Linked DNA regions of Drosophila melanogaster. The protein of the gene in region 1 interacts with the protein of each later gene in a biochemical or structural test. Each region holds a gene or a part of one and is shown in the gene's direction. Other genes may lie near its edges.

Evidence for each region. Proteins that work in one complex are often made in the same cells at the same time.
Region 2: of the proteins of snk (region 1) and gd, one has a biochemical effect on the other in vitro, tested with the Drosophila melanogaster proteins (one study listed by BioGRID).

The regions. Positions count from the first base shown.
Region 1 is NT_033777.3:13,039,619-13,044,615, reverse strand, and holds snk (snake), read left to right. Parts: upstream 1-1,845; 5' UTR 1,846-1,877; intron 1,878-1,972; coding exon of another isoform or gene 1,973-2,524; exon of another isoform or gene 2,525-2,566; intron 2,567-2,873; exon of another isoform or gene 2,874-2,874; 5' UTR 2,875-2,934; coding exon 2,935-3,013; intron 3,014-3,077; coding exon 3,078-3,458; intron 3,459-3,514; coding exon 3,515-3,776; intron 3,777-3,831; coding exon 3,832-4,417; 3' UTR 4,418-4,451; downstream 4,452-4,997. Other genes in the region: CG45122 (uncharacterized protein), read right to left, coding at 87-155, 219-410; CG11670 (uncharacterized protein), read right to left, coding at 610-695, 765-894, 948-1,365, 1,622-1,731, 1,973-2,524; CG11668 (uncharacterized protein), read right to left, coding at 4,546-4,719, 4,783-4,940. UniProt on the Drosophila melanogaster protein: Component of the extracellular signaling pathway that establishes the dorsal-ventral pathway of the embryo. A protease cascade involving ndl, gd, snk and ea results in activation of the spz Toll receptor ligand; acts downstream of ndl and gd.
Region 2 is NC_004354.4:11,984,985-11,989,628, reverse strand, and holds gd (gastrulation-defective), read left to right. Parts: upstream 1-1,864; 5' UTR 1,865-1,942; coding exon 1,943-2,155; intron 2,156-2,198; coding exon 2,199-2,358; intron 2,359-2,422; coding exon 2,423-2,579; coding exon of another isoform or gene 2,580-2,597; intron 2,598-2,658; coding exon 2,659-3,210; intron 3,211-3,332; coding exon 3,333-3,846; 3' UTR 3,847-4,095; downstream 4,096-4,644. Other genes in the region: tsg (twisted gastrulation), read left to right, coding at 717-1,466. UniProt on the Drosophila melanogaster protein: Component of the extracellular signaling pathway that establishes the dorsal-ventral pathway of the embryo.

The DNA.
Region 1 (4,997 bases):
ATTTATACCATAAGCTTAATTGCAAGAATATTTTTATAAAAAATAACTAAAATTATTTCACTTATTTAAATGGTTTATTTAGCCGCTTAGCGCTTTCCCTTCTTTTTCTTCTTTTGGCCATCCGGCCAAGCAAATCCTCTTGACTTCAGAACGTCCTAAAATAATTTACATATTTTTTTTTATTTTTAATAGATTATGTACTTTAAGTAATGACTTACCTGAACATTATGGCAGACATAGTAGGCGTTTTCCATGGCGGCGTCATTGAAAATGTCGCAACCAATGGACTTTCCCACGCCTCCTTTCTTCTTGCCGCCCTCTTTCTTCTTCTTCTCCTCGCCTTCGCCACTTCCTGCATTACTGGATGTAGAATCCTTGCTATTACGCTTCTTTTTGCTCTTCCCTACCATTATTAACTTTTTTGCATATCAAAACGCAATTATTGATTAAATAAACCATTTCAGCACACCGCGGTGCCTAGCAACAAATGCAATCAATCTAACAATACAAAAAAAGACCTAGATAAAGTACTTTTTGCTATGCTTTAATTAAAATTAAAATTTTCTTTTTTTTACAACTTTTTGTTTGTGACATTTTATAGACTGCTTTTTATTGATTAGTAAATTCGCTATAATAATTAGGCCACACTATGGATGCTATCCAATCGATATAGGATGAAACACGCGTATAAACACCTGTAAAATGAATGAATTTGTAAAAGTATTATACATTTTATATATTTTAATATATTTTTATATATTTACCTGGAAGTTCACTGCGACAATATGCTCCATACGATGTGATGCCCACCAGGTAGTAGCGATAGTGTTTACGACTTGTGTGCCTTCGACGCCGACGTTCCAAGTTCAGTTGAAGCGGTCCTCCAGAATCGCCCTTTAAAATAATAATATTATATCTAAAATTTACCCAAAACTTATGTTCCTCACCTGGCAAGTATCGCGATTTTTCTCATAGTCATGGGCGCATATCTGACTTGTGAGTAATCCGTGGGGAGAACCTTCGTCGGCTGGCAGACTGGAGTTACACTGCTCAATGGGCACCACCGAGAGATCCAGTTCCGTGAGTATGTTCGTCTGCGGCTGGGCGAATCCCGTCGAGCCATAGCCCATGGTGTGCAGCTTGCCGTATGGTATGTCGTTCATGGGCCACAGGCGAACTGGCCTCACGAACCAGGTGTATTCCACCGGTCGATTCAGCTGGATGAGCCCGATGTCATGGTAGTTAAGACTCGCATTGTACAGTGGATGCAGATAGATCTGGGCAACACGTCGTCTTTGGGGCGCCACGTTGAGCTCCCATTCCTTGAGCTTAATGTCTCCGATTTTTACGATGTCGGGCGAGGTGCTATAAGGAAAATAATCCAGATATTGTCCAAAAGCTGTTCTTAATAATCTGTTATATTATCATATCTAATATACTTGCTTGTTAAAATGAAAAATTAAAGTTAATACCTATCAAAGGGTTATTTAGATATTTTAAGGGGTATATGTAAGTTAAGGAGACTTCGTATTTACTCTTGAGTATCATAAGATAGTTTATGTAGATAAGAAAGCTATACTCTGCCTAATTCTCTATAAGTTGTTATCCATAAAAAGCTCACCCATGAGTAGTCAGGCAATGAGCAGCTGTGAGCACGAACTCTTCGCTGATGAGGCTTCCACCACATTTGTAGTCGATCTCGTGGTTCTCGTTCCGGAATCCCAGAGCGGCCTAAGATCGGTTAAAGAGCGGATTAGTCGTACCCAATTAACTGTTAACTGATATGATATGGTGGACTTCGATTTGGATTTCGGCAATCGGAGATTTAGTCGTGTTTGTGTTGCGAACGGCGGTACTTTGGCGTTTCCCCCATTCCGGTTTCGTGCGATTTTATTTATTTATTTATTGGCCTTCGTTGATCTACGATTTTTGTTTTTTTTTTGGACTGCACCTTTATTTATTCATTACTTACCATGTGCGGGTACTGTCCAGGTGCCACAATGGATCGGCCATTGAAGTCGTCGTGCAAGTCCTCCGTCTCCGCGGTCTTGTTGTAGTTCTCCCCGTCCACTTTGCTTTCGGTGTTCAGGAAGATGTTGTGGAAGTTGCGATGGTGATTTGGTGGCGGACGACGTGGTTGCCACTGCCTGGGGCCATTGTCCCATTGCCGATGCTGCAGCGGACCTCCTGGACCTCCGGGGCAACCAGGTGGAGGACCAGGTGGAGGCGGGCCCGGTGGCGGAGATCCAGGCGGTGGTCTTCCACATGGCGGAGAAGGTGGTGGCGGCGGCGGTCTATAATAGCCGTAGTTATTAAAGTAGCCCGGCGCCCATTGACCGTTGTAACCGTAGCTATTGTAGTTGTTGAAGTCCCACCTGGTTGGATCCGGCACTGGATTCGGATTCGGATTTCGATACGGTTCCGGATACTGGGCGGGAAACTCCCACTGTCCGTTCACGTGAAATACGCACAGGAGCACACAGAGTGCGATGCAGGTCTCCAAAGGTCTCTTCCAATCCGCCATCTGTAGAGGTCTTGCTCGATTGACCGATTTAATCCGACTGGGATCTTCCAATCCACACTACGCGGAATTGAAACGCAGCGTCGCTGGCAAACGGTTTTATTGAAATTCATCCGAATTTATAATTGAGCGCCCGCATTAATTAATAAAAATACATTAAACAAAAAATCAACCAAGCCAGGCAAGGGTTTGTTTTGGGCACAGTGGTGGCTCAAATATTGAAGCTAATCGAAATTCTTTGGCCATTGTCTTCTGAAAAACTGAATTCCTCTGGGGTATATTGGTTAATTTATAGTTTAATCTGGAAAATATATACAAAGCCCTAAAGTATCTATTTTCATTATTTATGCCAGCTTCTTATATGAAATGTTTGAAAGAAAGTAAATAATGAAATCACAGAACTCACAAATAGAATGATAATACTTTGGTCTCTAATCGTGCATCTTCAATTGACATGCTTGCATTTAATCCTGCAGACTCCAAATCTTGAGGGTAAGTAGTAAATCAATCGTATATATTAATGGTGCCTCTAATATTATATTAATTAAACCCACAGCTCTCGATGCCCTTGAAATAATCAACTACCAGACCACCAAGTACACAATCCCCGAAGTTTGGAAAGAGCAGCCAGTGGCGACCATTGGCGAGGACGTGGATGATCAGGACACCGAAGATGAGGAAAGCTATCTGAAGTTCGGCGACGATGCGGAGGTTAGGACTTCGGTTTCGGAAGGACTTCACGAAGGTGCCTTCTGCCGGCGGAGCTTCGATGGCCGGAGTGGATACTGCATCCTGGCCTATCAGTGCCTCCACGTCATTCGAGAGTATCGGGTGCATGGCACCCGCATCGACATCTGCACCCATCGCAACAATGTCCCTGTCATCTGTTGTCCATTGGCGGACAAGCATGTGCTGGCTCAGCGCATAAGTGCCACCAGTAGGTAGACTTCGAAGGATCGGAATAGTTTACATCCTAAAGATAATCCTTTCCAGAATGTCAGGAGTACAATGCTGCCGCCAGAAGGCTTCACTTGACGGACACCGGACGCACATTCTCCGGGAAGCAGTGTGTGCCCAGTGTTCCCCTGATAGTCGGTGGAACCCCCACTCGACACGGACTCTTCCCTCACATGGCTGCCTTAGGATGGACGCAGGGTAGTGGCTCCAAGGATCAAGATATAAAATGGGGCTGTGGAGGCGCCCTGGTTAGCGAACTGTATGTCCTGACCGCTGCCCACTGTGCCACCTCTGGTAGGTGAGTGACAGAATCCTCGAAGACACAACTATAACTGTATTTCTTGCTCCATCAGCAAACCACCGGACATGGTTCGCTTGGGCGCCCGCCAGTTGAACGAGACCAGCGCGACCCAGCAGGACATCAAGATCCTCATCATCGTGCTGCATCCGAAGTACAGATCCTCGGCATATTACCACGATATTGCCCTGCTCAAGCTGACCAGAAGGGTCAAGTTCTCGGAGCAGGTGCGTCCTGCTTGCCTGTGGCAACTGCCGGAGCTCCAGATACCCACTGTGGTGGCCGCCGGTTGGGGACGCACCGAGTTCCTGGGCGCCAAATCGAATGCCCTGCGCCAGGTGGACCTGGACGTAGTCCCACAAATGACCTGCAAGCAGATCTATCGCAAGGAGCGACGTCTGCCCAGGGGAATCATCGAGGGGCAGTTCTGTGCGGGATATTTGCCAGGCGGCAGGGACACCTGCCAGGGTGACTCCGGCGGTCCCATTCATGCCCTGCTGCCGGAATACAACTGCGTGGCCTTCGTGGTGGGCATCACCTCGTTTGGAAAATTCTGTGCGGCTCCCAATGCCCCAGGAGTTTACACCAGGCTATATAGCTACCTGGATTGGATTGAGAAGATTGCCTTCAAGCAGCACTAGTTTCATTTTATTTTATTTATTAAATATGCTTTTTAAAATTTTTAATTTTTTCAACAATTGTTTTAAATGTAATAATTTATCTTTAAAAAGTTGAAATTGCATAGAACACATTTAATTTCTCAAAAGAATCAAGGCCATACTTGTTGTTCTATCCATTGAATGTAGTGCGCTATTCGCACATAAACTCCAGGTTGACCGGATGCACAGGCTCCTCCAAAGGACGTTATACCCACCACATAGGGTATCGTATGGCGATGATGGCGCATGTGTTGGTGGAGCAACAAGGGTCCTCCAGAATCGCCCTGATGAAATCGAAGATCACCAGTCAAATAAAACATTTAATATTTCAAAAACTTTTGACTCACCTGGCATGTGTCCATATTGCCGGAGTAGTCTCCCGCGCACATTTGACCCGATCCCAGGCCATTGGCCAGTTTGTCATAGTTGTGCAAGTACCTCTGGCATTGTTGGAAATTCAGGTGGTAAAGCATGATTTGCAGGAGATTACTGGAGTGTGGTCCAGCTGTTTTATCAATCAATGATTTAAGTTATAATGAAAATCTAAATCCGGATAAAATGG
Region 2 (4,644 bases), on another chromosome or scaffold:
TTATAATTTGAGGAAAATTTTTTTTTTTTAATTTTTTTCGCATTTTGATACCTTACGAAAATGCAAAAATTGATCTTAAAATTAATTTCTTAGTATCCGCTTAAAAATGATATGGATCTTTAGCATTGGTAATTATCTGAGCGAAACTGTTTTTCTTTTAGCCATGTGATGATTTTTGGCCAAGTTATAAATTATGGCATTTTTGCCAAATGTCGTTTTTCTGACTTCCCTTAACATAATATATCGATTTTTGGCCAAAACACTTAACAAATTGTAATTATACCTGTTAAGTCCTTAGAGCCAATAATACCTGTTTGCGGTTAAGATTTAGGATTAAGAATCTGCATTTTGTTTTAGCCAACCAATGGACTTTATTTATGTTACCTAATTGGCTTATTTTATAACGGTTCGTATTAGTCAATAATACAGGTAATGTTTGCGTGTTTAATCCTAGAAGCTGCCTTAAAAGTAAGGCTATTTTGAGATGATCATCCCTTATTTTGGCACATTTTATAGGAGAAGTTACCTCTAAATGGTTTTAAATGACCAGCCTGCCTGCTGAGGGTCACTACCTGATTTTCGCGACACGAGGATTAGCGGATTGTGGTAAGGATGAGCCATCTACCTGACCATCTGGATACTAATATTAAAAAAACATATAAAGGCATGCCGCAATCGTGGATAATGTATCATAAGGCCGCGAGATCTCGTCGAGAATGCAGTTACTGTGCTACTTCGTCATCCTTTTCGTTGGAATCGCACCGTGGTCATCCTTGGCCAACGATGATGGATGCAACGAAGTGGTCTGCGGATCGGTGGTATCCAAGTGCCTCATCACCCAGAGCTGCCAGTGCAAGTTAAATGACTGCCACTGCTGCAAGGACTGTCTAAATTGCCTTGGCGAACTGTACATCGAGTGCTGTGGCTGCCTCGACATGTGTCCCAAGCACAAGGATGTCCTGCCCTCGCTGACGCCGCGCTCGGAGATTGGAGACATTGAAGGAGTGCCCGAGCTGTTCGACACCCTAACCGCCGAGGATGACGAGGGATGGTCCACCATAAGGTTCTCCATGCGAGCCGGCTTCAAGCAGCGCGTTCAGGGCGGCGCGAGTGGTGATGCCGGAAACGGAAATGGAAATGGAAATGCCGGGTCTGCAGGTGTCACCCTATGCACCGTGATCTATGTGAACTCGTGCATTCGGGCAAACAAGTGCCGGCAGCAGTGCGAGAGCATGGGAGCCAGTAGCTATCGATGGTTCCACGACGGATGCTGCGAGTGCGTCGGCGAGAATTGCCTCAATTATGGAATCAACGAGAGTCGCTGCCGCGGTTGTCCGGAGGATCAGGACCAACTGCTTACCGCCGATACCGTTCCGGCGGAGGCTGAACAGGATCTGGAGCGATTCTTTGGCAACGAGGAGATCGAGGACGAGTGGGGCTATGGCGAGGAGGATGAATTTTCCTAATAGCACAGATAATTTCAAATAAATGTGGTTCTTCAAATTGGAGCTTGGACCTCATCATAGCAAACGATCTCTTTGTAAATACCCATGTAAAATACCCATGTAAAAATAGCAAGGCATTTGCTAATTTAAGTTTTTATAAAAAAAAGACAACAATAAACTTGGAAATTATAAAAATATTCCTTTTAGTTCTAACAGTGGATCCAGTAAATGTTTCGTAGAATCCATATTTGTGGGATATAATTAATTTGTAAAGTTTTTTGAAATTTGAACTTGCACGGAATTGAGAATTTAAAGGATCAATTTCCCCTCTCTCATTTTAATTAACAGGGGTTACTTTCTTGGTCTGGCAACTCTGTTGGTGGATAAAATGCACACAGTGTTCCCGGACTGTTAAAGCTTCGATCGAAATTGCGGCATTGTTTACGTTTGTTTTGAGTGAAAAGCATTTTCATCCCGGGCATTCCCAGACACTAGCGATGAGGCTGCACCTGGCGGCGATCCTGATCCTCTGCATCGAGCACGTAACCAAGGCAGTCGCCCAGGGAATGCCGATCAGTCCGTGCCCCAAGGTGTTTCAGTACCGCTTCGACGGCAGCGAATGGTTCGGCCTGATGGCCGTGCGCAGTCCGGATGGCCACCAGCCGCTCCACATACGAGTTACGCTCTCGATGCGTGGCAAGCCCACCACGGTAAGTGGTATATTGTCATCCAGATGTTACCTAATCCCCTTAGTACACACAGAACTATCTGGGCGAAATCGAGCTACTCACACGCGGCAAGTTTACCCACAATGCACCGGTGCTGTATAAGATCCGCTTTCCCAAACATCACTTCCCGCCCAAACTGCTCCTCATGTCAGCCAACAATCATGTGATCTGCTTCGGATCCGGCGGTGCGTATCCACGGAACTTGGGTAGCAAACGATTTAATCCATGACTTGTTTGCCCGCACCACAGAGCACAGCATCTTCATGACCCAAATCCAGTTGGAGCACATTAGGAAGTTGTCCTTTATACCGGATAAGAAGAGCTCCCTGCTGCTAGATCCCGAGGAGGAGGAGGTGAGAAAAACCGACGACAAGCCGCCCAGTACGCCGCACATCCAGTTCAAGAAGTATGCATCCGGATTTTGGTCGGTTAAAACACACACACGATCGTGACATTCATTCGTTACTTAATGTCCGCTTTTGTAGAAAACCCTTTGCCCAGGCGCCCAAGGAGATTTGCGGACGCATCGACAGGGATCTGGACTTTCACTTGTCCCAAAGAACGGAATCACTTCATGTCGCAATCGGTGAACCAAAGAGCTCCGATGGCATCACATCGCCAGTTTTTGTCGATGACGATGAAGACGATGTCCTGGAGCATCAGTTTGTGGACGAATCAGAAGCAGAAGCGATAGAAAGCGATAGCGCCGATAGCCTGCCATCGATCACCAGGGGATCGTGGCCTTGGCTAGCGGCCATCTATGTGAACAACCTGACCTCCCTGGACTTTCAGTGCGGCGGTTCGCTTGTCTCGGCACGCGTTGTAATCAGCTCGGCGCACTGCTTCAAGTTGTTCAACAAGCGCTACACATCCAACGAGGTGCTCGTCTTTCTGGGCCGCCACAATCTGAAGAACTGGAACGAGGAGGGATCTCTGGCGGCCCCCGTCGATGGCATTTACATTCATCCCGACTTTAACAGTCAGCTGAGCAGCTACGATGCGGATATCGCAGTGATTATACTCAAGGACGAAGTTCGGTGGGTGCCAATATGCCTAAAGCTTACATATTCAAGATTTAGATTCATATCTAAACCGCGATGTGAAATCGAATATGAAGATCATTTATTATATTGACAGTATACCATTATTTTCAACGCAGATTTAACACCTTTATTCGACCCGCTTGCCTGTGGTCTGGTTCCAGCAAAACGGAGTACATTGTGGGCGAGCGGGGCATCGTCATCGGCTGGAGCTTTGACAGAACGAACAGGACGCGGGATCAGAAGCTGTCGTCGGAGCTACCGGGCAAGAAGTCCACCGATGCCAGTGCACCCAAGGTAGTAAAGGCTCCCATTGTCGGCAATGCCGAATGCTTTCGAGCCAATGCCCACTTTCGCAGCCTATCCTCAAACCGAACGTTTTGCGCCGGCATCCAGGCGGAGGAACGAGATACGCATCAGAGCGGGGCGAGCATTTACACCGGTATATCGGGGGCCGGACTTTTCATCCGCCGGAACAATCGCTGGATGCTGCGTGGCACAGTATCAGCGGCCCTGCCCGCCGTAGAGACACCGGATGCGGAATCTAGCCATAAGCTTTGCTGTAAGAATCAGTACATTATATATGCCGACGTGGCCAAGTTTCTGGACTGGATCACGGCCTTTGTAATTTGAATCACATCCGAAATGTGTATGGGAACGCATTTCTAAGTGAGCGCTGTGATAATAGCCCCTTGGGCATGGCGATGGGCAAAAGTTACTCGGAGTAATTAGCGGTTATCGGTTTTTTCTTTTTTTTTTTTTGCTAGTTTCATTACGAAAACTTCTGATTATGGCATTTCAGTTTTATTTTTATCTAAGACAGTAGGGCAATTCAAATAATAAATTATGGCACGGGAAAGCCAAAAAGGAATTTTCCCATAGAATCGCTGCGCTTTTAGATCTCCACCATAATATTAACATTAAAAATCTCGAAATTTGCAATGTTTAAATTCCTCTGACCACATATAGAAAACGTGTATGTTGAAAGAATCACAGGTATGTTTGATATCGAAATTAATTGTAATACAGTAACGTTTACCATGCCTTTGTTATCAGTGTGTTGTTGGCGCTCGTGAACAAAGGAAGCTGCTAATATGCCGGAGTGGGCGGCCTGGCCCGTCTGAGCGGCGTTCACCCATGGACACCTGGACACCCTAATTACCAGCGGCAGACACTGTACTGCGCAAATGCTGACTACTATCAAGCACGTCATCGCACGTCATCAGCCGCAATCGTCGTCATCGCCATCTGGGCCGTTATCTATCTTGCTGGGTTGTTGGGGCATCGACAGCAGTCGTAGCCATCGACTATCAGTTCCGTCCGGACCGTGGCAGCTGGTGCATCACACCTGGGGCTCTGGGCCCGTCGTCTACGGACATTCGCAATCGTTGAAGATCCCCAAACAAGTGCAACGCATTGTATTGTGAACGT